4 linked regions of the Lonchura striata genome follow. The protein of the gene in region 4 purifies or fractionates together with the protein of the main gene of each other region. This does not show direct contact. Links are inferred from orthologs where the notes say so. Each region holds a gene or a part of one and is shown on either strand. Other genes may lie near its edges.

Region 1 (7,169 bases), on a different chromosome or scaffold from region 4:
TGACACACCTGGGTACAGGTAACACACCTGGGGGGTCACACACACACCTGGGCAGGTAACACACCTGGGGGTCACACACACACCTGGGCAGGTAACACACCTGGGGGGTCAGACACACCTGGGGGTCACACACACACCTGGGCAGGTAACACACCTGGGGGTCACACACACACCTGGGCAGGTAACACACCTGGGGGGTCAGACACACCTGGGGGTCACACACACACCTGGGCAGGTAACACACCTGGGGGTCACACACACACCTGGGCAGGTAACACACCTGGGGGGTCAGACACACCTGGGGGTCACACACACACCTGGGCAGGTGACACACCTGGGGGGTCAGACACACCTGGGGGGTCAGACACACCTGGGTACAGGTAACACACCTGGGGGGTCAGACACACCTGGGGGGTTACACACCTGGGCAGGTAACACACCTGGGGACACACCTGGGGGGTCACACACACCTGGGGGGTTCAGATCACCTCCAAGCTGGTGCGCAGGTGAGCGCACCTGGGCAGGTAACACACCTGAGGACACACCTGGAGGTCACACACACACCTGGGCAGGTAACACAGCTGGGGACAGGTAACACACCTGGGGGGTCACACACACCTGGGGGGTCAGACACACCTGGGGGGTCAGACACACCTGGGGGGTCAGACACACACCTGGGGGTCACACACACCCGGGGGGTCACACACACCCGGGGGGTCACACACACCTGGGGGTCACACACACCTGGGGGTCACACACACACCTGGGGGGGGGGTCACACACACACCTGGGGGGTCACACACACACCTGGGGGGTCACACACACCCGGGGGGTCACACACACCTGGGGGTCACACACACCTGGGGGTCACACACACTTTTGGGGGGAGTCACACACACACCTGGGGGGTCACCTGTCCATATCTCACCTGTGTCTCACCTGTCCCACCCGCCAGGGTGTCCCTGGACCCCTCCCGCCGCCAGAGCTCCAATCGCTGCGTCTCGGCCACGCCCGGCCCCGGCGCTGCCAAGATCCGTGAGTGGCACCTGGGCACACCTGGGGGCACCCAAAACTCACCTGGGCACAGCTGGCACACCTGGGGGCACCCAAAATACACCTGGGCACACCTGGGGGCACCCAAAATACACCTGGGCACCCCCAAAACTCACCTGGGCACACCTGGGGGCACCCAAAGTACACCTGGGCACACCTGGGGGCACCCAAAACTCACCTGGGCACAGCTGGGGGCACCCAAAACTCACCTGGGCACACCTGGGGGCACCCAAAATACACCGGGGCACACCTTGGGGGACATCTGGGCACACCTGGGGGCACCTGGGCACACCTGGGGATTTTCGGGATGGGATTTTTGGGGTTGGGATGGGATTTTTGGGACATCCGAGGGATTTTTGGGACGGGATTTTGGGGAATCCGAGGGATTTTTTTGGGGCCAAAGGAGAGATTTTTGGGATGGGATTTTTTGGGACATCTGAGGGATTTTTGGGATGGGATTTTTGGGGTTGGGATGGGATTTTTTGGGACATCTGAGGGATTTTCGGGATGGGATTTTGGGGCCATCCAAAGGATTTTTGGGATGGGATTTTTGGGATTATTGGGATGGGATGTTTTTGGGGTTGGGATGGGATTTTCGGGATGGGATTTTGGGGCCATCCGAGGGGTTTTCGAGATGGGATTTTGTTGGGGTTGGGATGGGATTTTTTGGGACATCCGAGGGGTTTTTCGGGATGGGATTTTTGGGGATTGGGACGGAATTTTGGGGCCATCCGAGGGGTTTTTTGGGGGGCCAGGGTCGCAGACGAACCTGCGGGAATCGGGGGACCTGCGCTCACAAGGTGGGTGCTGCCCCTCCCCCCCTCCCCTCCCCCCCCGGGACCCCCCCGGGACCCCCCGGGACCCCCCGGGACCCCCGGCCTCACCTGTCCCCCCGCAGTCGCCATCTACCTGGGGATCAAGCGGAAGCCGCCCCCCGGCTGCGCCGAGGGGGGGGGGCTGTGACCGCCCCTCCCCCACCCCCGGCAGCCGCCCCTCCCCCAGCCTGGGGGGGGGGGGCGGGGCAACGGCCCCGGGAAAGCCCGGAACCGGATTGGGACCCGCGGAACCGGATCGGGACCCGCAGAATGGGATCGGGACCCCCGGAACTGGATCGGGATCCCCGGAATGGGATCAGGACCCCCCCGGGAAACCCCAGAACCGGATCGGGAATCCCGGAACTGGATCGGGACCCCTGGAATGGGATCGGGACCCCCAGAACAGGATCGGGACCCCCGGAATGGGATTGGGACCCCCAAAAGGGGACTGGGACCCCACCCGGGACCCCCGGACCTGGATTGGGACTCCTGGAATTGGATCAGGACCCCCAAAACGAGACTGGGACTCCCCCGGGAAACCCTGGAACTGGATTGGGACCCCCGGAATGGATCGGGACCCCCGGGACTGGATCGGGACCCCCAAAACGAGACCGGGACCCCCAAAATGGGACTTGAACCCCCCCTGGGACCCCCGGAACCGGATCGGGACCCCCGGGACTGGATCGGGACCCCCCCGGGAAACCCTGGAACCGGATCGAGAATCCCGGAATGGGATCGGGACCCCCAAAACGAGACTGGGACCCCCCCGGGAAACCCCGGAACTGGATTGGGAACCCCAGGACTGGATCAGGACCCCCAGAATTGGATTGGGACCCCCAAAATGAGACCGGGACCTCCCCCTGGGAAACCCCGGAACTGGATTGGGACCCCTGGAATAGGATCGGGACCCCCCAGAACCCCCAGAACGAGACCGGGACCACCCGGATGAGACCGGGACCCCCCTGGGACCCCCAGAACCAGACTGGGACCCCCCAGAACCGGACTGGGACCCCCAGAACCGAACTGGGACCCCCAGAACCGAACTGGGACCCCCCAGAACCAGACTGGGACCCCCAGAACTGGACTGGGACCCCCCTGGGACCCCCAAAATGAGACCCGGGGCCCCCAAAACCGCATTGGGACCCCTCCGGGACCCCCGGAACTGGATTGGGACCCCCAGAATTGGTTTGGGACCCCCGGGACCCCCAAAACGAGACCCGGGACCCCCAAAACCGCATCGGGACCCCCCCGGGACCCCCAAAAGCTGCCCGGGGGTCCCCCCAGGAGCCCCCCAAGGATTCGGCAGCCCCGGGACCCCCCCCCCAAGATTCGGGGCCCAGCGGCGCTGGGACCCCCCTGTCCCCGTTGGGGGGGGGATTTTGGGGGTCCGGTGCCAAGATTTTGGGGACCCCCACCCCAAAGCGCAGCCCCTCCCCCCCCGTGTACAGTCTGTAAATAGGCCCCGCCCCCCGGCCCCTCCCCCCAGGACCCCTCCCCCGTTTTTAAGTTATTCCTGCCCCGAGCTGTGCCCCGACCCCCCCGACCCCCCCAAATAAACCTCGGGACCCCCAAAAACCCCCCCAGTGTCACTGTCTGGGGGGGTCCAAATTTGGGGGGGATTTGGGGGAGATTTGGGGAATTTGGGAGGGGGATTTGAGGAATTGGGGGGGGGGGATTTGGGGTCCACATTTTCGGGGGGGGATTTGGGGAGGGGGATTTGGGGAGGGGGATTTGGGGTTCATATTTTGGGGGGATTTGGGGAATTTGAGGAGGGGGATTTGGGGAACTTGGGGTCCATATTTTGGGGGGGATTTGGGGGATTTGGGGGGGGTTTGGGAAATTTGGGGAGGGGGATTTGGGGAATTTGGGGTGGGGGGATTTGGGGTGGGGGGATTTGGGGAGGATTTGGGGGAATTTGGAGGGGGGTTTGGGGTGGGGGGGTTTGGGGAAATTTGGGGGGAATTTGGGGAATTTGGGGGGGGTTTGGGGGGAATTTGGGGACGGGTCAGAACGAGACCCCTCCCCGATGTCGCTCAAGGGGCGTGGCCACCACCACCACCATATATGGTAATTAGTGGGCGTGGCCAACCAGGTTCCCATTTTATGTAAATCAAGGGGCGTGGCCACCCTCAGGTTCCTTATATGGCGATTTGTGGGCGTGGCCAACGCGGAGCGGCGCGCGGTGGGCGTGGCCACGCCTTCCTTATAAGGCGGTCGGGGGGCGTGGCCAACGCCTCCCGCCCCCTGGATGGACCAATCAGCGCGAGGCCACGCCCCCTCGCAGCGGGACAAGATGGCGGCGCTGAGGGCGCTGCGGTGGCGGCGCCTCCCGGGGCTCGAACCGAGGCGGCTCCGGAGCACGGCGGTGAGCGCGGGAAACTGGGGAAAAAACGGGGAAAACGGGGGAAAACGGGGGAAAACGGGGGAAAACGGGAGAAAACGGGAGAAAACGGGATAAAACGGGAGAAAACGGGATAAAACGGGATAAAAACGGGAGAAAACGGGAGAAAACGGGATAAAAACGGGATAGAAACGGGATAAAACGGGAGAAAACGGGATAGAAACGGGATAGAAACGGGAGAAAACGGGATAGAAACGGGAGAAAACGGGATAAAACTGGGGGAAAACGGGATGAAAACGGGATAGAAACGGGATAAAACTGGGATAAAACGGGATAGAAACGGGAGAAAACGGGAGAAAACGGGATAGAAACGGGAGAAAACGGGGGAAAACGGGGGAAAACTGGGATAAAACGGGATAAAAACGGGATAAAACTGGGTTAAAACGGGATAAAAACGGGATAAAACGGGATAAAACGGGATAAAAACGGGAGAAAATGGGGGAAAACTGGGATAAAACGGGATAAAAACGGGAGAAAATGGGGGAAAACTGGGATAAAACGGGATAAAAACGGGAGAAAACGGGGGAAAACTGGGATAAAACGGGATAAAACGGGAAAAAACGGGGGAAAACGGGAGAAAACTGGGGAAAAACGGGAGAAAACGGGATAAAACTGGGTTAAAACGGGATAAAAACGGGAGAAAAGGGGAGAAAACGGGATAAGACTGGGATAAAACGGGATAAAAACGGGAGAAAATGGGAGAAAACGGGGGAAAACTGGGATAAAACAGGATAGAAACGGGAGAAAACGGGAGAAAACTGGGGAAAAACGGGGGAATACGGGGGGAAACAGGGGGAAATGGGGAAAAACGGGGAAAAATGGGGAAAAACTGGGATAAAACGGGGGAAAACGGGGGGGAAATGGGTAAAAATGGGGGAATACGGGGGGAAACGGGGGGGAAATGGGAGAAAACGGGATAAAAATGGGAGAAAATGGGAGAAAAGTGGGATAAAACGGGGTAAACCGGGATAAACCAGGAGAAAACGGGAGAAAAAAGGGGTTAAATGGGATAAAATGGGATAAAACTGGGATAAACTGGGATAAACCAGGAAAAAATGGGATTAAACCGGGATAAAACGGGATAAACTGGGACAAAAAGGGGAAAAACAGGGAAAAAACGGGACAAAAGAGGATAAAACTGGGATAAAACGGGGTAAACTGGGAGAAAAGGGGAGAAAACGGGGCAAAACGGGGGAAAAAAGGGGGGAAATGGGGAAAAAAACGGGACAAAACAGAATAAAACAGGATAAACTGAGGCAAAAAGGGTCAAAGAGGGGAAAAAAGGGAAAAAAAGGGGCAAAAAGGGACAAACGGGGACAAACCGGGACAAAAGGGGGAAAAAAGGGACAAAAATGGGAAAAAACTGGGAAAAACCAGGATAAACTGGGACAAAAAGGGGAAAAAAGGCGGGAAAATGGGGAAAGAAGGGGAAAAAAGGGACAAAAAGGGAGAAAAAAGGGACAAAAAGGGAGAAAAAAGGGACAAAATGGGCCAAAATGGGGAAAAAAAGGACAAAAAGGGACAAAAAGGGGGGAAAGGGGGAAAGAAGGGGAAAAAAGGGACAAAAAGGGACAAATGGGGACAGAAAGGGACAAAAAGGGGAAAAAGGGACAAAAAGGGAGAAAAAAGGGACAAAATGGGCCAAAATGGGGAAAAAAAGGACAAAAAGGGGGGAAAGGGAGGGGATAATGAGGGGACCACTGTGTGACCCCTGCGTGACCCCTGTGTGACCCCGTGACCCCCGTGTGACCCTGTGACCCCTGCATGACCCCGTGACCCCTGTGTGACCCCGTGACCCCCGTGTGACCCCCTGACCCCTGTGTGACCCCATGACCCCTGCGTGACCCCGTGACCCCCGCGTGACCCCGTGACCCCTGTGTGACCCCAGGAGCCCCCCGAGGAGCGGCCGCAGTTCCCGGGCGCCTCGGTGTCCCCACGACCCCTGTGTGACCCCCTGACCCCTGTGTGACCCCCTGACCCCTGTGTGACCCCGTGACCCCTGTGTGACCCCGTGTGACCCCTGTGTGACCCCAGGAGCCCCCCGAGGAGCGGCCTCAGTTCCCGGGCGCCTCGGTGTCCCCGTGGCCCCTGTGTGACCCCGTGACCCCCGCGTGACCCTGTGACCCCCGTGTGTCCCCATGACCCCTGTGCGACCCTGTGACCCCTGTGTGACCCCTGTGCGACCCTGTGACCCCTGTGTGACCCCGTGACCCCTGTGTGACCCCGTGACCCCTGTGTGACCCCTGCATGACCCCGTGACCCCTGTGTGACCCCAGGAGCCGCCCGAGGAGCGGCCGCAGTTCCCGGGCGCCTCGGTGTCCCCATGACCCCTGTGTGACCCCTGTGTGACCCCATGACCCCTGCGTGACCCCGTGACCCCTGTGTGACCCCTGCATGACCCCGTGACCCCCGCGTGACCCCAGGAGCCCCCCGAGGAGCGGCCGCAGTTCCCGGGCGCCTCGGCCGCGTTCTCGGAGCGCCTGGAGTTCATCCAGCCCCAGGTGCTGGCCGGGATCCCCGTGTACCGCGTCATGGACCGGCAGGGACACGTGCTGCGGGACACGGAGGATCCCCAGGTAACACGCGTGACACGGGACACACACACGTGTAACACACACACGGCCCGTGTACCGCGTCATGGACCGGCAGGGACACGTGCTGCGGGACACGGAGGATCCCCAGGTAACACGCGTGACACGGGACACGCACACGTGTAACACACACACACACAGCCCGTGTACCGCGTCATGGACCGGCAGGGACACGTGCTGCGGGACACGGAGGATCCCCAGGTAACACGCGTGACACGGGACACGCACACGTGTAACACACACACACACACGGCCCGTGTACCGCGTCATGGACCGGCAGGGACACGTGCTGCGGGACACGGAGGATCC
Region 2 (6,920 bases), on a different chromosome or scaffold from region 4:
CTTGATGTCTGCCTTAGAAACCCTTATAATGGAATTAGGCTCTTTAACAATAATCCTCTGTAATTCACATCTTATTAACTTTCTAACCCCAACCTAACTGGCTCCTTGGAAAAAGCTCAGTAATGCACTGCCTGTTCAGCATGCCCTCCCCTCAGGGGAGCCAACAGGAAACATTACACAGCAGCTGTAGACTCAGCAATGAAAAAAAAGACAGCAAAGAATCCTATCCCATTTGTCATATGGTGACAGTACACACAGGGGCAGCTAATGCAGATTAGTTCATGTATTATAAATTCACCCCTCAGTTTGATTGAGAGCCCCTTGTGTGTGCCTCTGCTCACACACAAGTTCAGTAAAGGCCCAGCTCTGCTGCATGGCTCCACAACTCACCTCCTTTTTATATCACAATTAAATGTGAAATTGAACTTTTCAACTATTGGCTTGAAAACCTGAAAAAGAAACATATAAGAATTAATTTATTTTTGCATTGATAATTTTCCACTACTTAATGAATTCTTAGAAGAAAAAAAATAGCTCAACACAAAAATTTCAGTTGCATTATTAAAATAAAAAAAAGATAGCCAGTCTTATCCATATAGCTTATTTGACATTCCTCATACTTTATTCTCAATATAACTTTGTGTAAAAGGATTTTCTTATGGAAAAAAAGAAGAGTTATTCACAGCACTTCTAGAAAAAAGAATACATTTTAAGTGAAATTTTCTGCAGTAAATTAAAACTAAAGAGACTATTTGCCATTTCAGAAATTCCATGAATCACTGGTGTCTCTCTACATCCAGTACACTAATAGTGTTATATTCCATGCCTAATTGCATAATCACAAATAGACTTGCAGTAAGAGCAACAGAGAACAGCAGTTACATTGCATACATATTCAGGGAAGATGCACCAAGGCAAAGGAATTTCTCCCTACCATGACTGTGTAGTCTATCTGAGGAGCCATCTCCGCATTAGTCCCACCTTTTAAATGAAGCTCTGATGGGGAGGCAGCAAACAGCACACAGGGCATTGCTACCTGCATCAGTAGGCACACACTCCTAAAAACAATTATAAGATACTCAAATGCCATACTCTATTAATCCACAAAATTGCATAGAATCATTATATATCAAAGGCAAATGACTCTCTAGAACATTTACTTTTGTATTTTATTTTTTAAATTATCTATAAACTTATTAGTCTTAAAAGATACTACTTTAAAACTTCATGTCCTTAGCAAGCATAAATATGAAAGTTTTCATTTCACAATAATTGCATCTTTAATATTTCTGTTTGAAATAAAGTTATGTATCTTCCTTAGTATAGTGATGGGACCAAGAAAACTGTGTTTAGGTAGCAGAAAACGTTTTAATAAATCAATGGAATATGTTCCCATTTCCAAAAGACCAATATGGCATACTGTGCTACTATGAATCTAAGTAGAATGTCAAAATTTACCTTATTATATGGCAATTATTTCAGACCTCATGCATGTGAGATACTTATCTAATTTAATGCATTTGGTCTGGTATGTAACACACTAATGTGAGGAATTTACATCTGAAGTTTTAAAGACATGGGCAGCTGCTTTCTTCATAACATGAATCAAGCATTCAGATTTTATATAAATCGTACTTTTAAACTTCACGTGTACTTCATGCATATCCTGCCTATACTACAGGTTGTTTGGTCACATAAATCTGGCTCAGGCAGCACATATCTTGGGTCATTACCAAAGCATAAATCTTCTTTCCACCTCCCCCCCATCTATTATGATAATTTTAAAATTATCAGAAGCTGGTGTACAAAGACATACCCTGCTGTTTTTGTATCTGCTATGTGAGTTCCACCTTTGATCTTCCCAGGAGTGAAGGTTATTTCTGTTGAGCCAATCTCTCCACCATTCAGCTTCCCATCACACAAATCTCGTATGATCTCCAATCCAGACAGATGCTGAGGTCTTAGAATGACAATACACAGTTAAAGACACATACAAGTAGACTACATCCTCATGTTACACTGAAACAACCACTAAACACCAACTGAAAAACTACGACTCCAAATTTTGGATCAGACAAGGATCAGAAATTCACTCTGGTTGCTACAGTACTTCTGAGCTCACAGGCGCCAAAGGAGCAGCATTCAGGCCATACTGGGATATGCAGGATTCTGGTATCCTTTCCACTAGAATAGACCCAAGAGAGCTATCTGTGCTATGAATGCTCAGACAGAAATGCAGTGGGAAATGATGGCAATACTGGCTGAGCCAGAACCAGTTGCAGTGCTACAAGAGAATTAACAGGTTTGCTATGTACTTGCCTTGTGCTTGTTACCATTTGTTCGTGTAATTTAAACAGGAAATACACCAACTGGTCTTAACACTGGAAATACACGAAGCGTAGCAGCACTAGGATAAGCACTAACTGCTGTTAACACTGTACGCTCGGTAAGCCGTGTTTTGCTCAGGCATTACGTGAGTGTGTTGCCTGTTTCACCGGCGGAACCATCTCCGAGGCAGCGCGGGCCCCGCGCTGAGGGCACCATGCCGCAGCGTTCCCCCTCACTCCTTGTGGGCCACAGACGGCATTTCCCAGTACAAAGGCTCTTTTAGAGCAATGGAAGCGCAAATGTTTCAGACGAGAGCAGCCGAGGCCTTGCGCGGCCGTGGCCCAGCCCCGGAGGGCCCACACGCCGCAGTGACCGGCGGAGCGCCCCGGGACCGCCGGAGGGTCTCACCTGAGGCCGGGCTGGCTCCGCCCGGCGCGGATCCGGCGCACCCGCAGCGGCAGCCCCAGCAGGCAGCTCAGCGCCGTGGACACCCGCAGGATCTGCCCGCCCTGCACGGACAAACGGCGCTCGTCAGGCGCTACGGCACCTCCCGGCCAGCCCGTACAGCTGACCGGGGCCAGGTAAGCCGCGGCCCGCTGGCGCTCACCCCCTCCATGATCCCGCCGTCTATCTCCACCCTGTCCCCGTCCATAGCTGGCGAGGAGCGGCGTCTCTCGCAGAGGCCGCGCCGATGGGATCCCGGCGGGGCCCTAACCACGGCGAGCCCTCGGCGAAGCAGCCGCGGGGCCAGGAGCGCTTGACGGCGGCGGGCCCGGGATGCTGCGGTACGGGCGCGGGGGGCGGGCGGCGGTGCCGGGCAGGCGCGGAGCGGAGGCGCCGCCCTGCCCGCCCGCCGCGGGGAGGAGCAGCCGGCGGGCCCGGCGCTCAGGCAGGGGCAGGAGTGCCTCCGTTATCCCCGCGGTACTGACCGCAGGAGGCAATGCCTTTCCCTTGTCCTCAGGGCCGGAGCCGTAACAACCGCGGCACCTGGGACATCAGAGCCATGGGTACAGCGCTGCCGCGGAGGAGAGCTGCCCTGCTCGTTATGAGCTAATTTCCTCAGAATCACAGAATGAATTAGGTTGTAAAAAACTTCTGAGATTATCAAGTCTACCACCATGCCAGTCAGACCATGGCACTAATTACCACGTCCAGTCTTTTCCTTAAACACCTCTAGGGTTGGTATAACCGCCAGCTTCCTGGGCAGCCCGTTCCGATGTCTAATCACCCTTTCTGTGTGAAGACAGTCTTCCTACTGTTCAACGTAAACTTTCCCTGGTGAATCTTAAGACTATGCCCTGCCGCTTGTCACCTGGGACCCCAAGCTGGCTACAATCACCTTTCGCGCAGAACCACAGACACGGGCGTGTAGGTCTGGCAGGCGCACGCAGCACTTTATTACACGTGTATGGGGAAAGGCCGGGCTCTCGGCGCTGCCCTTCCCGGGACCGGCACCCGCGGCTCGGGCCCGGGAGCCCCGCGCAGGGCGCGGTCCCTCCCGTGGGCGTGTGTGGGCCCCGAGCGCCGCCGCGCGCTCCTGGTTGGCCGAGGCGGCGCGGCCGCCGCGGGTTGGCTGTGCCGGGGGTGTGTGCGGGGCCGCTCTGCCCGGGGTAAGATGGCGGCCGTGACCGCGCTGAGGAGCAGCTGCCGAGCCGCGGGGCGCCTGGTAAGGGGAGCGGGGACCCCGCGGGCGGCGGCGCTCCTCCCGCGGCCGGCCGGGGAGGGAGAGATAACTCTTGGCATCCCCGAGCCCTGTTCCTGCCGGCGGGCACACGGCGCGCACCGCGCCTCTGCAAACGCGGCGCGCTGGCGGACCTGTCGCCTCGGCAGTGTGCGGGGCCGGGCAGCGACTGAGCTCCGTCCCCGCTGTGCGCTCCCCGCGGTGCCCGAGTCCCCGGCTGTGCCCCGCGCTCCACAGGCACCCCGAAGTGGCACCCTCTCCCCCCGCGCTGCCCGTGCTCCCTGTGAAAGAAACTTGTGCCTTTCTGTAATATGACAGTGACATCCTCCTCTTCTGTTATTTCTAAGTCATCCCGTTATTGCTTTGCCTAAGCGTTGCTCTGCCATCACCGCTTCTCCGCCCACGCATCAGCTCCCTTTGCATACCGCATCTGTACGGAGACGGTGTGGATACACGTACAAAAAAGGAAAACGTGTTTCTTTGAATCCCAGGAGCCTTGATACTTGAAAAGTACTTGAGATTCTTTACCATAAGAAGTGAATCTTCTTGGTTGCCTTTTTGAGATACTTACAATTTCATGGCCGTAGACTTCGTTCATGCTTTCTTCTGTCTTGCATTACAGTCTTCTTGCTATTGTGAAGAGCATTGGTTTCCTATTATGTCACCCCTATTTTGTAGGATGTTAGAAAAGAAATAATTTTTGACATTTAGAGGCAAAATTAAGGATCAGTTCCAGTTTCTAGTATGTTTTTCTCTTACTAATTCATATTGTAATTTTAAAGCATAATGCTGAGGAAGTTTTAAATTATACTTTTGTAAGGCAGTTTACATCCAGTAACTTATAAGTATTTATAAATAATTTTACTAATTAAGAGCACTGAAATTAGCATTTTCTTTTAAATTGTATTTCTAACCTTCTACTCTTAAATCTGGAGAGAGATTCTGATAAGATGAAAACACTCATCTTATCTATGTGCATGCTGAACTGTAGAATTGGCTGGTTTGTAGTGTGTGTTTCCTGCAAGCACATTTTGAATCTGAGCCAGAGGCCTTTGTTTGAAGTGGTAGGGAAATGGCAGGTACCTGGACACTGGGACATGTGCCAGGTATTTAGATGAGGGATGGCATCAGATTAAAACACATTACCAGGGATGTTGCTTTAGTATATAGGTAACTATATACTTGGAAATATAGAATATGTATGCAAAACACATCCAATGTGAGAAAATGTTCATTAAAATGACTCAGTGGGACAGAAGTCAAGAGAGTTCAGCAGGGCAATATCCTTTAATGCAAAGTTATTGCCTGTGACCATGAACTGTTCAATTTTACTTGGAAATTTAGTGTTACTCCCTCAGTTAATCAGTTCTCTTCAGGCTGCTTAAAAATACTTTGGTCTGAGGCCAACATACAGGATCAGTGGTAATTTAGAAAACCGGAGTTGGCTTGTTTTTAAGGAAACAAAGCTGAACCTGAGAGGGAAGGCAGTTGTCCCCCTGAGTGCCCTCAGCTCCCCCTTGGCTGGGGTCAGAGCACGGCTCTGTCAGCCAGGCTGGTGTGGCCTCAGTCCCAGCGAGGGTTTGACTGGGACCTCAGCTCCTTTATGCCAGAGTCACTCTACACACTGGAGACGTGCACAGGAAAGCTGTTGCCTTGCTGTGGCAGTATTGCCTTTAAGTTGCTGTTTAGTCTAACAATAGCCAGGTTAACAAGCTTAGTATAGCATTTATGTTTGGGGTTTACTGATAGATTTTTCCAAACATCAAAATATTTAGATGGGTATACTATGGATATTAGAGCTAATTTTGTCTTTTATGTGCCATTTTTATTTCTTTGTTTGGCATTACACCAGTATTATGGTGATTAAATGCTGAAATTGTAAGCACAGTCTCTTTGTTTAATGGATTATAATTTTTTCCTTGTTGGTAAGGAACACTGCTCTGTGAGAAGATTGTGTCCTGTATTATTAGTTTAACATACTAGCACATCAGCTTTTTGGTAGAGAATGTGCAAAACTGAAAACCAGAAAGATATTGTTTTAAAAAATGCAATAGTTTTTAATTATTCCTTCAAATATAATATAAAACAGCATGGTAACTCTTTAATAACAACACCAAGTCTCTTTTTTTGGCAGTGACATTACTAATTTACTACCTGCATTGGTAACCAAAGGTTAAAAATCACATGGAAATCATTGTGAAACTTCACATTTAGAAATAGTTCAGAGATTTGATGTGCTCCTTGTGATCATCTTCACAGGTAAATACTGAATGTTTTTCATTTAGGGTCATATAAAGAGAAAAGAGAGTTTTTGCAAGTTTGTGACAAAAACGTCTAGTTGAACAGTTTTTTCAGTAAACATTAAAATGTAACCTTCAACTGGGAAGAAGCCCAGAATTAAAAATAGAAGAAAAATAAGATTGTGAAGATGTACACTGTATGCCAGTTTTGTAATTAAATGTAAACTTTAAACATATTCCTAAAGTACAATTTTTTGTAAAATTGCCATGTTACTAGGTTGTTGAATATGGAAAGTTGTTTGGAGGACCAATGAAAAGATTTTCTATTTGCTTGTTATGGGAATGAGAAAAATACTCATACTAGATCAGTAAGTACCATCTTAGTGGCAGGCAACTGAAAGGTAATTCAAATTATATAACTTTGTTGTGTCCACCATGATAGACTGTGTTGTATAAAGATTTGTTTCTTAAAGAAAGGGGATATTGGATATAACTTGCAGTGCTGGGTTAAATAATACAGAAAATGAGTACATTGTCAGTTCAGAATTGTATGGCCTGCTGAATAATGTACTTTTTAAATAATGAAAAATGATAGCAAATAGTTGAACAGTTTGGGGTGTGGGGAGGGAAACAAGAAATTTCATATACTCTGTAATTACTGAAAGGATTTT
Region 3 (7,497 bases), on a different chromosome or scaffold from region 4:
TTTCCCTGTACAGGTATTTCTAGATTAAGCTAGTAGAAAAAAAGAGTTAAATATGATCTGCAGTTTCAACTTAAAACTGATTGAATTAAGCAAAGTGGGACTCTCATCCTGTAATTATGAAACACTGATATGTCATATAAAGAAAGCTGAACAATGTCTCTATGGATAGACACCGCAGTTTCCAGCCTTGATTCATTTAATGTTATGAATTACTCACGCAATTTAAAATAGGACTGTCTTCAAATTAAGTGTGCAGTATTTAAAAATCTAAAAAGCAATTGGTGATGTAACACACAGTTACTAGTCTAGACTGAGTGGGAAGCTCTGTCTTACCACAGAGGTGGGTCATACAGCAGAAGAAACGGGATGATTTCTGACCTTACAAGAAAATGAGTGCAAAACTACGCCATAAAGGCTTCTTTTCCTTTCCCCCCCCCTGCTCTTTGCCAGACTACAACTTGTCTGGTTCCAGACAGATTGCCCTGACCTGCTTTTTATTAAAGTGTAAAATAATTATTGGCGTTTATGCTACATTATTGGCATTTATGCTACCTAAGATGAAACCATTTATTTCTAAGTCCTGTTGATCAAAACCATTACTGCTCTGGTCTTGTTTAGTTTGTCTTACTCATTCTTAGGGGTAAGACAACCCTTTCTGTTCCCACATTTAATCTGTACAGGACTGACAATAAAACCAGCCAGGCCAAATGGTAAAACTCTTTTTCACATATCCAAGAAAGAAATGCCTGTCCCTAATCAACAAAAAACCCCATTTGTCTGAGGGAGGAGGGACGGGAGAAAACAGCTTCAAAGTATCAGCACAGAAAGAGAAGGACAAAGCAGACAATAATTAGGGTAGAAGGAAGACAGAAGACAGCAAACAAAACATGAAAATAGCTGTAGTGCCAAGACCTAGGATTAATGTGACAAGAGTGCTCACTAGCAGTTCCTATAAGAGGGGGTAAAACATCTAATCAGCTGTTGGGGTGGAAACATGCAACAAGATTCCTTCCATGAACCACAGAGCAGGGAGGAAAACTTACAGCAACACTATAACATGTCAGACAGAAGTGACAAGAAAACAGCTATGCTTGAAGGAATGCAACAGAAATTGCCTGGATGCTTCATCACCTATAAAAACATAATTTAAAGTAACACCTACTAGGAAATGTGATGAGTTTAAGGTTCAGCTGCAAGCTATGTAAAAATTTTGAGAGATTTTGAAACAGAATAGTAGACTTGGAGCCATATGTTTATGTCCAAATCCAATATTGCAGTTTGCTCACAGTTAGATCCATGTCAATCAGAGGCAACAACATGAACTTCAAGGGAGTTACATCTGATTGATGCTGGCATAAATATGGGCATAATCTGGTCTGGGACAGTAGGGTCTGCAATCATCAGATCCTCATTAATTGCTCTGTATGATTATTCACAAATAATAGTAATCCCTGCCAGAGTTTTTTAATGGCTGTCAACAATACTAAGGATGTGCAAAATGACTAATACACACAGATGGGGAATGTAGTTGATTTCAGCTCTTAATGTCTGCTGTACAGATTTAACAGAAGTGGCCCCAAGTGACTGAACAACTTCCAAAAGAGAAAAATGTATTCAAAATGTAATTGAAGTTGCTGGAATATCTAAGCATATATCAGGAACAACATGGATATAATTATTACCCCATCAGAGCTGGAAAGACATAAATGCTGGGACTAAACTCCACTAAAACATTGTTCAGCCAGTGTACATTTGGATAAACCTCTTTGATTGGCCCGTTAAAAAAGATTTATTTATTTATTTATTTATTTATTTATTTATATTACCAGTGCAAATATCCAAGGCCATGTGGACAAACCATTTTTTGTACTCAAAAGGCAACAACAATGCAGGTGTTAGTATCTATTTCCAGATATTTTTTTTCCCTTTCACCTATGAGGTGAACATCTTACTGCAGATATTTCTTCTTTCCACTGTTCCATCATAAATGCTGTAACTTCCTGTGTAAGATACTGGGCCACATGAGCATACTTTTCCTTTTCAAATTCCATGTATCACCAGGTATAGGAGACAAGAGTCCCAGCATGGCATCTACTAACTGTACATAAGCAGAATATACCTTACAGTTTATAGTATGAGTTTAGCAATTCACAGTAAGTGATACATTAGTAATAGATGTCAGACTCACATGTAAAATAATTCCTTTCTATACTATTGCTCTCCATTTTTAAGTTTTGCAGATCTTGCCACAATGATGTGAAATATAGCTAAATTCCTCCTACTCAGATACATTGTTTTCTGAAAGAAACACAAATATTTGAATAGTAAACGTGGATATTTTCCACTATTAGCAATACATATTACATGATTATGTATCACTTGGTGGTTATTATATTATTATGTTTTCCAGGTCCTAAACTTTATCAAACATCTATGTATTGCCTTCAGTTGAAGTTGGAAGCAACCTCAACTTTTGACATTTATACTCCTTGTTCATTGCAAAGATGGCATTCTATTGTTCGTTAAAATTCTCACCCCCTTTAGAAATTTAGATAGTGTCTTGTTTCCCTGGGATGTACTGGGATATGTTCAAACTTTGATCCCATGACCAATCACTCAAAATTTGAATGCTTTTTCAGCAGTCTCTAAGGATAAAGGGTGTGGTGAAGAGCAAGTAGATGGTCTCCTCAGTTAGCAGGAAGAGTAAGCCTTTTATTTTGCACAAATCTTAATGATTAAGAAATTCTAAATCAACATGAGAAAATATGTTTTCACAAAATACATAATGAAGCAATAGTCTTCAATGAAATTGAACTGTGGTCATTACAGGAATATTCAGTAATGGCTTGGAACTCAGATAGGAAAAAAAATCTAATCATCACAGCTATACATATTTTATGTTAGACAGGAAATCTATCATTCCAGTGTTTAAACTAGGCCCTGTTCATACAGGGTTACATATGAGCCCTCTCACTTGCAAGAGGTGATGCCATTTATATGTAATTCTAATTTCTAGCCTTTTTCTTTGAGGCACAGTACTGAGTTAGAGTTCTTGGAGCAAAGTAAAAAATGCTAGCCAGTATGGTTTGCCTTACAGATAATATCAAAACAGACAGGGAAGAACAACTTAAACAACTTAAAACAACTTGTCACATGCATTGGAGGCTGCATGACAGGGCTTGATGAAGAGGCATGCACAGGGACAAGATGTGAAACACTGACAAAAGGGAAAGGGGGAAAGGATTGACCTGGAGACAGCTGAAATGCAACAAGGATGGGTAAACAGAGGAAGAAATGGAGGCTGCAAAAGTAGACCAAGTAGACCAAGAAGATTCACCTGGATGATGGAAGTAATGTGAGGTTGTCATACTTTGATGAGGAGAACATTAGAAAGAATGTTTTTATAAAACCTGACAAAGAAAATATGTGCATATGAAAGATCATAATTTCAATAAAATAATGTACCAAAGGTCTGAGCAAGAGTGTTTCAAAGAAAAGCCCTCAGAAAAAATTAAGTTAAAGCAAGGCAGACTGAAAGCCAGGATGGACAGTCAAGAGAGATTTTGAGAGACAGAGTGGAACAGGTAATATCTGCAGGTCTGTGAATTCCTTTCACCCTTCTGGGGCAGCTGCTGGGGTAGAATTTGAGGATTTCAGATATTTATGAAGGGAGCCTAGAAGAAAGATAGAGAGTTTTACAAGGACATGTAGTGACAGGAAAAGGGAGAATGGATTCAAACTGGAAGAATACAGATTTAGATTGGATATTTGGTGAATAATTCTTTACTGCAAGAATGGTGAGGCATTGGAAAAGGTTGCCCAGAGAAGCTGTGGATACTCCATCCCTGAAAGTGTTCAAGGCCAGGTCGGATGGGCTCTGAGCAACCTTGCCTACTGAAAGGTGTCCCTGCCACTGGCAAGTCTGCTGGAACCAGATAATCTCTGAGGTCCCTTCCAACCCAAACCAGTCTGCGATTTGTCGACTCTGGGGTGGTGACACGACAACCCCTGCAGTGGAAGAAAAGAGAAAAGTTTAAGGGGAGAGGGGAAGCCTTTGGTTTCAGCTGCGACGGTGACAGTACCTAGGCAAAGCCTCCTGTGGCTGTGCCTATGACTGCGGCTATGGCTGTGGCTGTGGCTGTGCTTGTGGCCGTGGCTCGTGGCTGTCCCTGTCCCTGTAGCTGTGGGGGCGCACGGCAGCAGCGCGCTCCCGCCCTCAAGGCGCGCTCCCGCCCTCAAGGCGCGCTCCCGCCTCCCGCGCGCCCCGCGCTCACCCGCACGCGCCCCAGGCCGCGCGCCCCCCGCGCAGGCGGGAACCCTCCCTCCCTCCCGCTCCTCCACCCACTGCGGAGCCGCCGCTGATTGGTCCGTGCCCCGGCGGCGCTGGCCAATGGGGGGCCGGCCCGGGACCCCGCCTCGTTAGTAGGCGCTGGCGGCGCCGGGCCGGCATGGCAGCGATGGCGGCGGCGGGGCGGGCGCTGCGCGCGGCGCTCCCCGCCGGGCTCTGGGGCCGCCCGGCCCCGCTGCCGGGCGCGCCCCGCCGCACCGCCGCGCACTTCGCTTTCCAGCCAGACCCGGCGCCCAGAGAGTACGGTGAGAGCGCGGCTGGCCGGGGTCCACCCCGCGGGCCGGTCTCAACCTCTCTCTGCCGCCGGGTCCGCCCTGTCGCCGTGCCTCCTTAGGCGGGGCCGCCAGCAGCCCGGTCCGGGATGGCAGCGGGCAGGCAGGGCCCGCCGGGGGCCCGCCGGGGCGCTGCGGGCCGGCCCCGGGCGGCGCAGGCATCCGCACGGTCGCGTGACCCCGCTGCGTCCTCGGCACTCCCAGCCGGGGGTTTTCCGCAGGAATCCTGGGCTGTGGGTGGGAATGCCCTTGTGGGCCGCTGGTGGGGCCGCAGGCCGCCTCGGCGGTGGGGTGGCGAAGTGTTTTGGGCTGTCAGAGCCAGAGCTGCGGTAGGTGGGCCCATCGTGTGCTCAAACCTGCACGGCCATCCTCGGCCCCTGTCCTCTACCAGGAGCTTCTAGAAGTAACTTACTGACTTGACATCTGTCCTGGTTTTTGTGTTGCATGCTTAGGTCATGAGTGTGATAACAAACCTATGATGAATAAAGACTGCTGTCTGCTGAAAGATTGGAGGTCATCCTCGTGGTCACATGGTTGAGACTAAACACAGATAACTTGGAAATGAGCAGCGCATGGTGTTTGACTTTTATTTTTGGGATGTGTCCCTCCAAATGGCTAGTGCCAAGTTCTGAAAGAAGCCTGCTGGCTGCAGAACAGCTGCTTCTATCACGTAAACCTGAACCTAACTATCCTCTAGAAACCTTGTTACTTGGTTGGATACCTTGTTGTTGCATCTTGATCATGATTAACAGAAACAGAGTTTCTGCTAATGATAAAGATATACCAAGGTCCCACATAGTGAAGCTTGTGTATGGCAGGTCCCTGCTTGAGGTCATGCGAAGAAGCTCTGGGGTGGCATGCCATTAATTAGTAGAAAGTTAATTCCCTGTGACTTAAAATACACTTCAAAATTCTGTGGAAAAGCAGTGGAAGTGAAATAAAATTATAGCAATACTGCTCCTGATATTGTTGAGATATTGCTTTTCCAACTTCATAGGTCAAATCTAAAAGATACAATTAGTTCCCCCTTTCCTCTGTGGGGTTTATATGAAGGCCTGTGTTATAAGCAAGAGAAGCAGGTTAGAACTATCGTAATACCCATTTATTTATATACAATACTGGAAGGATGTTATCTTGTAGAAAAGATAAACTAAGTACTAATGTGGATGGATGGCTAGGGAAAGAGGGAAACAGCTGCCATTCCCGAGCTTTTATTCTCTTTTTGTAAGTTTTGTTCATTAGGGCTTTTGTATAACCGGAACAGTTCTCATAACATTTTCTTTTCAGTATTTTCCTCTCCTTGAAGGGCCATGTAAAGTATAACAAGTCAAGTTACCAAGCACAGGAATGTGTAGGAATGCAGCTGCTCAGATGTAGCATGGCACTAGTCTTCAACAAAAAAATACTAACATTAATTAATGATTTAGAAGAAAGGGAAGCTGAATGTTTGTTGAGAGGTACTGTAACTACTGGGAAAAGGATGTAGTTCACCTTTCTGAATTCTAACACCTATTAGTTCATGTGGGATCTTCATCTAATTATCTTATTTATTTATTTAGCACACTGTGTGTGCTGGAGGTGGCATTCTCCTGGACTGTAGATTCTAGTCATGACTTAAGAGATTTTTCCAGTTAAAGAGCTACCAAATTAAAGAGCAGCCAAGCAATTTCTTACTTGGTTTCTTTTAAGAATTATTTTATTTGCTTGGAGAATCTGAATTGGTCATTGTAGTGAGGACTAGGCTACTGTTTTGGTCCATCTTTGCTTTCAGGTCTCCTTGTTTTTCACAAAAGTGCAGGAAGGAAGAAGGGCATTCTGGTAGCATTGTTCTAAATTAAACAACTTACTTTGCTTCAGCACGAAGTTTCTTTCTTTGAAGTATGAATTTGAAACTTCAGACACTTACTAACTGCAGTGCAGAGAGCAGGCCAGTGGTCTTGAAATTTTCTGATAATAATAGATGTCTGTAAATGGGAAAGGCTGGAGCTTAAAAAATGTGATTAAAGAATGATAAAGTAAACGTCAGTGAATTTTCTGGGGGGGAGGGAAGATCCCAGTCCTCAAAATGGTGATATGTTGGTTTCTTCTTTTGAAAAGGAAGACATTCTTCCCAGTGCTTGACTGAGCTTTGCAAAGCTTCATTTGCTGTAGGCAAGAGCATAGATTTTTGAAAAAAAAAAAAAAAAAAAAAAATTGGAAGTGGAATTATAGTCCTTGGGAAGGCCAAGTATACAATGCTCAATCCCATCTATCCTATAATTTAAGTTTATTCAACAAATGAATCTTGGGTATTCCTAACAGGAATCTTGTTTTTGATGGTTAAATTTTTAGACATGTTTGCACCAGTGTTTTCTAATGTACTTCATGTTTTGAACCAAATTAAATTGCGGAATGATCACTTTCACACAGGGCAAACTCAGAAGATGAATCTCTTCCAGTCCATAACAAGTGCCTTGGACAATGCTTTAGCCAAAGATCCAACTGCAGGTACTTTATACTTGTTAGTGTATTTTGTTTTATATAAATTGTGTTTTGGTTTGCCTATCTGTGTACAATATTTAATGTATTTCTCATGCCCTGTAAAGTTTGCTAATAAGTTATTACTTCACTTTGATCTCAAATCTTAAAAATGTGTTGCATTAACAGATTACTAATGGATTATATGGTCTAAAATGTAGTTGTATCTTCTGTATTAGCTCTGTGTATTTCACTTGAAGGTGAGGACAGAAGATACATTCTTTAACATGTTTAAAGTATTACTGAGGAGAACTGTCCTTGAGGGCAGCTCGAGTCCCACTAGTAGGAGTTTTAAAAATGTAAACATTACTTTTACATTTCTTAAACTTTCTGTTCCCTAAAACTGGTACGTTTTTAGAG
Region 4 (7,881 bases):
TGGTTGCCACGGAAACCACTTAAAAGCCTGCTTTAAAATATTTGCTGCATATTCAAAAGCCACAATAATTTCCTGCTGTCGAATTACAACAGCTCTTCAAAAATCATTAGGAATATTCTTTAATCATCAAGGCAGAAATAATCACGTGGTTCTTCTCAGCAGGCAGATGACTGAATTCTGATCTGGAATATTATCTTTGTAAAACTGAAGCTATGATACTGAAACAAAATCAGCTGTGCTGCTGTGCAACCATCCCCAAAATCAGATCTTTCGATTGCATATTCCTAACACTAAGTTACCATCCACGGCATCCTCATATTTTGAAGTATCACAACTTCTAACTTATGATACTTCTAATAGAATCATACAATAATTTAGGGTGGAAAAATTCAAGGAGAAATTCAATTTACACAGCTAACATACTGTAATTGGAGAATGACAAAGGCACAATGTGAAGGGCTAGGAACATTCTGTTCTAACTCACTTTTCCCTGCATTTAAGAAAGCATATTCTTCACTAGGGGCACAAAAAGCTCAGCCAAACCTTTTTTTTTTTTTTTTTTTCTGTTTCCAAATAAACTGCTTGAATACTCCAAAGCCATTTGAAGTCAGGATAAACAATTCAACCATTTTCTTTTACTTTAGAAAACTCAGTGTACTGGGTTAGTTAACTTTCTTGTAGTAGCCCTCAGTAGTGCTGTGGTTTGTATTTGTAGCTTGAGTGGTGTTGAAAACACAAGAGTGGTTTGGCTACTGCCGAGCAGTGCTGGCACTGCTCGCTGAGGAGGGGCCGTGCTATGGTTTCACTAGGTGGCTGCTCGGGGTGCACCCACCACACCTGGGATCACGAAGGGATGAAAGCTGACTTCAGTTTTAATGACAACACCAAATCCCCTAGGTATGCTCTTGATCTGACCTTCCCAGCACAGTATTTAGATACAGGAGTTTATTTTCCATCTTCACCAGGACAGAAGCAAGCCATGTCATCTGAATTGAGAGGAATCCTGTGGGAACAGATGTACATCTGACTCCCGCCTTCCCTGCAAGTGAGAACTGGTTCAAAGACTGCAGTTTGATCTGGGCAGTCCTGGCAATGTGCTTAAGCTACACCACAGCCCTTCTGTTTCAGAACGCCTTCTGTCACTGTGTAAACCACGAGTCCCAAATGAAATAGAAACTTATTGAGTAGGATAACCAGAGGAAACAAGATTGCCATATGTCAAAGTCTGAGCACAGGAGGTTTGTCACATCACCCATAAAAGTATAGAGCATGAGCTTGGGAATTAAATGTTGCATGTAATTTGAGCAGTGTCAAAACCAATACTTTTATTCATTATTTCTAAACAGAATGCTTATTAGCTTGCTCAGTCATGTTTCAGTGTTAACACTGTAAGTATTTATGCAAGGGCAATACCTGGCAAGAGTGCCAAAAAGCACATTTCTCTGGAAGAAAAAAGCTGCATTTTACCCACACCCTGAGGACTATGTGCAGCCCTTGTCAGCAGGGAGAAGCATGGCTGCTCCACCAGGGCTGGGGATAAGGGGGATGCTGAGGCAGGCAGGGACCTCCTTGACAGCTCCATAGTACCTAAGGAGAACCAGGCCAGCTGGGGACAGCAACAGGGGTCAGCTGCAGTTCAAGCCTGACCTTAGAGACTAGCCAGGTTCAAGGTCAAGACAAAGGATCCATCAGCCAGGGAAGCACAGGATCAGTGAGGTACAAGGCCAGGCATGGGCACACCCACAGCATGGCTAAGGCAAGGGCCTGAACTTAAATTTGATTCCCAGTCCAAGGAAAAAACATCCTCAGTGAGCTGCAGCTCTTATCACCAATGTCCACACTGAGAGCTGGACTATCCAGAGCTATCCATGAGCACAGGCAGTCAAATGGCCATGGCAAGGGTGACACAGTAGCTCACCTGATTTTGAAGGGCTGCCTTTGAAAAGTGCTGTGAGAAATTACAGCTGTTGCCAGTTATTTGAATATTAGTGTTAAAATAATGGCCACTTCACCACAGCCACAGGGTGTTTTCTGGTCTCTTCTGACCTGCCAGAAGACCCAGATTATACAGACAATTAGCCAGGAGTGTACCATAAGGAAGAATTCTTCACTTATAGGGATAGAAAGCATGGTGTAAGAGTAAATTTTCCAACCTTTTAACATCAGGTGCTGATGAGAGCATAGTGTTCAGAATCAGTTTGCCCTGAATTTACAGCTTGGTCTGAGATATTATCCATGGAGATTAAAATGGACATTTATTTTGCCCCCACCAGAATTCCAGCTGCTGTTTATTCAGTTGCATTGCTGGGCAGAACAGCACATAGACAACCAGCCTGCCCCTGCCCCCAGGAGTTTGGTTTGTTTTCCAGTCACAGAAGACAGTCCCAGATGAAGGGTTTAGAATTTAAAGATGGAAACATGCAGGAAAGATGAATGAAAAAGGGAAGAGGCAGCAGGAGAGAAATAATAATGGAAAAAATATGTGCAAATCATTAATAAACTTCAATTAAAAGGAGAAAAAATAAAGTAGACTAGAAGGCAAAGGAGGGAAAGGTCAGGAACTTGACGAAGTAGCAAAAACAGAGGCAGTAGGACAGAAGAGAGAGAGAACATTGCAGGAACAGAAATTCCTTGTTAGGGGAGCTGGAATCTAGGAATACTTAACTCATCCTTTAGGGGGAAAAAACTTATGAGGGGAAAGTCCAAATTACTGTTTCCAGTCAAAACTAAATATTGCATAGTAGAAGTTCCTGCCTTTCCTGTTCCTGAATTTTTTTGCCTCCTGTCCTCCTAGTGTTATCAGAGGCCCCTCAAAGCACCAAACGCTGCACTGCAGCCCATCATCCCTGCCCTGTGCCTTGACCTGTTCCTCTTGTCTTCGAGCCTTCTGCCTTCTCACAAAGCTATTCTTATGCTTGCTGCCTCATTTTTTCCTGCTGCCTCTCCAGATGCCTCCCACTTGCCTTCCAAAGCCTTTTAAAGATAAGAGCAGTTCTACTGCACATCAGGGCTCACCATGAAGCATTTATCATTTCCATGCTGGCCTTTCACTGCCAATTCAATGGGGCAGAAATTGTCTCCCAGCACTCGTGCCTCCATATGATGTAGGACCCTGACACTTCTGAGAAGATCCCACTGGCGCTGCTCTGTAAATAGCAATACCTGTTTTACAGATAATATGCTGGTTTTGTTCTCAGTAATTCACTGTGCTAGCTTGGCTACCCCTGTATGAATCCTTTGTGCTCAGAACTGCTGCTCTTGCCCAATGCCAGAAGAGTTGGCAGGAGAGCTTTGTTTTTCCTGTCTCACTGAGGACAAAGGGGAACCAGAGAACAACCTGCAGTGACAGATGACACCGTTGCTATCCCCAAAAGATTCCCCCAAATTCCATTCTAAGTGCCGAGTGGGACACCACACATCTGGAAACCAGAATGATCTGGCACGTGCTGCCATGTTCACCTAACCCCTTCTTCTACAAATAGAGTGGTACAGTGAGAGGTCTGAGAGGTATTATTGCTGCTTTTCTGGCCAGGTTTTGCAGCAACCAAAAACCTCACCCCAACAAAACAAAAGTTTATTTACCTCAAAAATTTATAGGACAAACTTGACAGCGACCTCCTTAAGCTCCTGTGGAAATTGTGTTGGCTCTCACTTTTCTCTCATGCGTCTATTTTCGAGTACTCTGGTCTCCAGCAGACAGCACAGGTGTCAGCATGTTTCAAAGGCTTTTGTAATCAGAGCCATCTGATTTCCCAAATTGCATCATAGGTCAGAGACTGGCAGTAGCACAGCATGGAGCAAATGATCCCTTTAAAATCCTGATCGGACATGGATCAGCGTGAGGAGGTGGCAGGGCTCTGCTCATGGAAACAGCTGCTTCGAAGCAGTGCACACAATTGTGCTTTAAATCTTTCAGATATTTGTTGCATAAGGGCATCACTGCTGTTTCCAGAAGCCTCTTGGGCAGCGGCTGCAGGCACAGCCTGGCTGTCCTGGCCCTCGGGCTTCCAGCTGCCGAATCCAGCCTGGAAGTAGGCGGTAGCCAGGTGGAGGTCGGGCTCTTCTCCCGGACGACCAGCGTCGGGACGAGAGGACACGGCTTAGACCGGCACAGGGTTAGGCTGGACCAGTGCAGGACCGGGAGTGGGTCTCTCCAACTCAGTAAATTCCGTGATTCTGTGAAGTTAGGGGAAATTTCTTCCAAAAAGGGTGATTAGACATCGGAAGGGGCTGCCCAGGGAGGTGATGGAGTCACCCTCTCTGGATGTGTTTAAGGAAAGACTGCAGGTGGTTGGACTCAATGACCCCCGCGGTCTTTTCCACCCCAAGCGATTCTGTGAAACCAGGGGCTGTGCAGGGTCACCGCGGCCACAGCCGCTGCCACGCGCCTGCCCCTGGCCCGGCCCCAGGCTCGTGTGAGGGGCGCGCCGGGGGCGGCGGGGGAGGCTCGGCCGGCGCGGCCGCCGCCGCCGGGGCCGATTGGCCGGGCGGGCCGGGCGGGCGGGGCCGATTGGCCGGGCGGGCCGGGCGGGCGGGGCCGATTGGCCGGGCGGGCCGGGCGGGCGGGGCCGATTGGCCGGGCGGGCCGGGCGGGCGGGGCCGATTGGCCGGGCGGGCCGGGCGGGCGGGGCCGATTGGCCGGGCGGGCCGGGCGGGCGGGGCCGATTGGCCGGGCGGGCCGGGCGGGCGGGGCCGATTGGCCGGGCGGGCCGGGCGGGCGGGGCCGATTGGCCGGGCGGGCCGGGCGGGCGGGGCCGATTGGCCGGGCGGGCCGGGCGGGCGGGGCCGATTGGCCGGGCGGGCCGGGCGGGCGGGGCCGATTGGCCGGGCGGGCCGGGCGGGCGGGGCCGATTGGCCGGGCGGGCCGGGCGGGCGGGGCCGATTGGCCGGGCGGGCCGGGCTGCAGCCTCGGCCGGGGGGCGCCGCTCTCGCTCAGCTGAGGCGCTGCCGCCGCCGGGCGCGGGAGGAGGTAAGGGCCGCCTGCATGGGCCGGGGGAGGGTGAGGGGCCGCGCCCGCAAGCGTCTCCTTTTGCCCCTTCCGCTCGCACCGCTCTCCTTTCTCCTTCAGCCGCGGCAGGGCAGGGAATGTCAGGGAGCGGGGCTGGGCAGGATTGGCGTTCCGCCGGCGCTGCCGCCGCATGCCGCAGTTTTGATATCGCACGGAATAAACGCGGCCTGAGGTAATTCGTGATACGCAAACTGCAGCAGAGACGTCTTTAAATTGCTGCTGTCTGTGTGCAGTTTGCTGTCCAGGCAGGGAGGCGAGACCAGATTGTTACGGATTTAAAAAAAAAAAAAAAACAACAAAAAACACACAAAAACCACAAAAACAACCAAACAACAAAACAGCAACACACCTGCTTTATGGCGAGCTTAACAGCCAGAGCCGTGCGGTCCTGCCCACATCCGTGAGGTTGGGGAGGCACGCGAGGCAAGTGCGCTCGGACTCGTGCATTCCTTTTCACGTACGTCGGATCCCCTGGGGCAGCAGGCATGCCTGCGCTTTCTTCCGGGCGTCCTTTTCTTCCCCTTTCCTTCTGGCAGCCTGGAAAATTTCCATCTCCCGAGCAGCAGCGAGCCTGTAAAACTACAATTTTAATCACCTCATCCCGCTTCAAGTGCTGTCTTTCCCTGCCTGTCTGTAGGAACTGTTTCCCTCCAAGAGAACGTGTACAGATGAACAGGATCAGATTGTGAAAAACGCCGATCACTTGGTTTTTAAAATTTTAAAAGTTTAATAGTAAAATGGTTATAAAAATAATAATACAATTAGAGTAATAACGTTTAGAGTTAGGACAATTACAAGACAATAAAAAGCAAAGAATTACAGATGTCCGGATACTCTTGGACACAAAGTCAGGAAAAGCATGACTTGTGAACAAAGGACTCACCCTTAAACCAATACACTTGTTGCATATTCATACATCCTTCATGGTTATGCATACATTCTATTCTAAACAAAGAACTCTGTTGTATGTCAACTGTTTCCTTTAATCCCCTGGCATCTTCGAGTCTAAGCAAGGCCTGAAGAAATTAGCTTCTTCTGATAAGAAGCCATAAATTCCTATCCTTTGGAAATTTAGGTGTTCTTTGAAGCGAATATCTCATTCCTAAAACGAAAACTCCCCCCACATACATAGTCTCTATTTTAACATTATTTTGTAACCTAAAACTACACTTAATGCAATACCTAAGAGAATTAATACAGCATAACTTTCTAACATTACACATATAATATTCATTGTAAAATTTGCGAAAAGCCAATCATAAATATGCATTTATCACAAGAAGGAGCACCTCAAAGCACATTTCTATCTCGAACTGTCCATCTTGGACTTTGTCTCTAACAGCGGTACCCCCCTTTTCATTACCTCAGTCTTGTTTTGCCCAGATGGGTCTGCCCAGTCTTTGCAGACGTACCAGCTGGGAAAGTACAGACTGTTGTGTGTCCAGAGCTGTTTATATAACAAACTAAAGAGCAGGTTTCTACTTCTGATTTGCAGAGACGCTTGGAAGGCAAAACTATCATCACTATTTTTACTTGCCTGGTGAGAGTTGAATTTGATAGGGAACAAATGCATTAATTAGCTTATGAGTTTGGATTGATCCTCTGATTCATGCTGTGGATACTGGGTAATCTAAATATAGTGAGCATTTCATGTTCTCTTCTCAAGCTGACAGAAGTGAAGGCGAGTGTGGGTTTTGCTAATTGACAGGCTTTTAGTTTGGTCCTACTGTGTTTCACAGAAGGAAGTTAACCTGCTGCTGTTACGAGTCAAGGATAGCATGAAAGAAAAAGCAGTTCCAGGAAGTAAAGCAGGTTTTAAATGCCTGTAAGTATGCTAAAATAAGGGTGTGATATTGCAATCACCCTAAGTAAAATGGAAAATCTAAAGATCTCAAATAGTTCCATATTCAGCTGGTGCAACAGTGATTTCCAGAACATTCAGCCTTTTATCAAGTCAACAGTTAACCTCTAAGGGCTAAGTAAAGAAACCTTTCTTTTTTTCATGCAACCTAAGAATTGCATGAAAGGTAAACCCACAGCATCTGAAGCAACACACTTTGAGCTGGGAACAACATGTTTATTGAAGGCCTTCCAAAAGCTCTGTCACTGCCATTTTCTACTAAAGCAACCCTTTACTAATTCACCTTTGATTGCATGTTTTTTGTGAGTACACAGATTTTTTATCTAGCAACTTAAAAACGTAGTTTTAACAAATATTTCAGATCTAGAGATGCAGTTGTGATTGGCCTGGGCAGAGGACAACAGCAAGGCACTCCAGCCCAGAATTAAAGTGTCTCTGGAGTACAAGTGTTGCTCTTTGCTGTCCAATTATGTCAGATCACCCTGCTGTCTTTTTTAAAACTATTATTATAATTATTTTTCATTCACCATAAGCCTGGGTATATTTAGATCTGTGGTTATGTCATATAATACTTCTCACTCATCATTTTGCCCTTAGCAAACTTTGAGTAATTAAGTTAGAAATTCCTCACTGGGTTTATATCTTTAGTGTGGTTAGTTACAATGATCTGTGTGGTCCAGTTCAAGTACTCCATTGCGACATGTAATTATTACAAATTGCATCCTTGGACTTCGGTGAAGTTGGGTGTTGCTCTAGAAAAGATCAATAATCCAACCTTTCTATGCTTTTCACCATGCTAGGTGAGTCATCATTAGCAAATTTTTGTCTGTGCTGAGCCAAGTGGTGTGTATGAATTTATCTGGACTGGAAAAGAGATCTGAGAAGCCAGTAGATCTTGTCTGCCTGTGTTAGCCCATTTCAGGGTTAGGTGGCAAAGAACTTCAAGCCAGATGAAACAGCAAATAGCTGCATGGGTTTTTTGAGGGGGAAGTTTGTGTGTACAGTTGTGAAT

Evidence for each region.
Region 1: the proteins of PPM1K (region 4) and BCKDHA purify together in Homo sapiens (affinity purification with mass spectrometry; 4 studies listed by BioGRID and IntAct, counting the BioPlex papers as one, with this or other methods). This does not show direct contact. The link is inferred for Lonchura striata from reciprocal best matches to the Homo sapiens genes PPM1K and BCKDHA.
Region 2: the proteins of PPM1K (region 4) and DBT purify together in Homo sapiens (affinity purification with mass spectrometry; 4 studies listed by BioGRID and IntAct, counting the BioPlex papers as one, with this or other methods). This does not show direct contact. The link is inferred for Lonchura striata from reciprocal best matches to the Homo sapiens genes PPM1K and DBT.
Region 3: the proteins of PPM1K (region 4) and BCKDHB purify together in Homo sapiens (affinity purification with mass spectrometry; 3 studies listed by BioGRID and IntAct, counting the BioPlex papers as one, with this or other methods). This does not show direct contact. The link is inferred for Lonchura striata from reciprocal best matches to the Homo sapiens genes PPM1K and BCKDHB.

The regions. Positions count from the first base shown.
Region 1 is NC_134633.1:5,562,134-5,569,302, forward strand, and holds the start of BCKDHA (2-oxoisovalerate dehydrogenase subunit alpha, mitochondrial), read left to right. Parts: upstream 1-4,155; 5' UTR 4,156-4,161; coding exon 4,162-4,233; intron 4,234-6,692; coding exon 6,693-6,845; exon of another isoform or gene 6,846-7,169. Other genes in the region: MARK4 (MAP/microtubule affinity-regulating kinase 4), read left to right, coding at 956-1,035, 1,809-1,853, 1,952-2,016. UniProt on the Homo sapiens protein: Together with BCKDHB forms the heterotetrameric E1 subunit of the mitochondrial branched-chain alpha-ketoacid dehydrogenase (BCKD) complex.
Region 2 is NC_134611.1:22,888,095-22,895,014, reverse strand, and holds the start of DBT (lipoamide acyltransferase component of branched-chain alpha-keto acid dehydrogenase complex, mitochondrial), read left to right. Parts: upstream 1-3,920; 5' UTR 3,921-3,943; coding exon of another isoform or gene 3,944-3,994; intron 3,995-6,260; exon of another isoform or gene 6,261-6,268; intron 6,269-6,920. Other genes in the region: RTCA (RNA 3'-terminal phosphate cyclase), read right to left, coding at 391-449, 935-1,058, 1,817-1,960, 2,737-2,837, 2,936-2,980. UniProt on the Homo sapiens protein: The branched-chain alpha-keto dehydrogenase complex catalyzes the overall conversion of alpha-keto acids to acyl-CoA and CO(2).
Region 3 is NC_134605.1:81,557,250-81,564,746, reverse strand, and holds the start of BCKDHB (2-oxoisovalerate dehydrogenase subunit beta, mitochondrial), read left to right. Parts: upstream 1-4,489; 5' UTR 4,490-4,593; intron 4,594-7,029; 5' UTR 7,030-7,043; coding exon 7,044-7,107; intron 7,108-7,497. UniProt on the Homo sapiens protein: Together with BCKDHA forms the heterotetrameric E1 subunit of the mitochondrial branched-chain alpha-ketoacid dehydrogenase (BCKD) complex.
Region 4 is NC_134606.1:64,143,963-64,151,843, forward strand, and holds the start of PPM1K (protein phosphatase Mn(2+)-dependent 1K), read left to right. Parts: upstream 1-4,869; 5' UTR 4,870-4,969; intron 4,970-5,357; exon of another isoform or gene 5,358-5,579; intron 5,580-6,371; exon of another isoform or gene 6,372-6,445; intron 6,446-7,881. UniProt on the Homo sapiens protein: Serine/threonine-protein phosphatase component of macronutrients metabolism.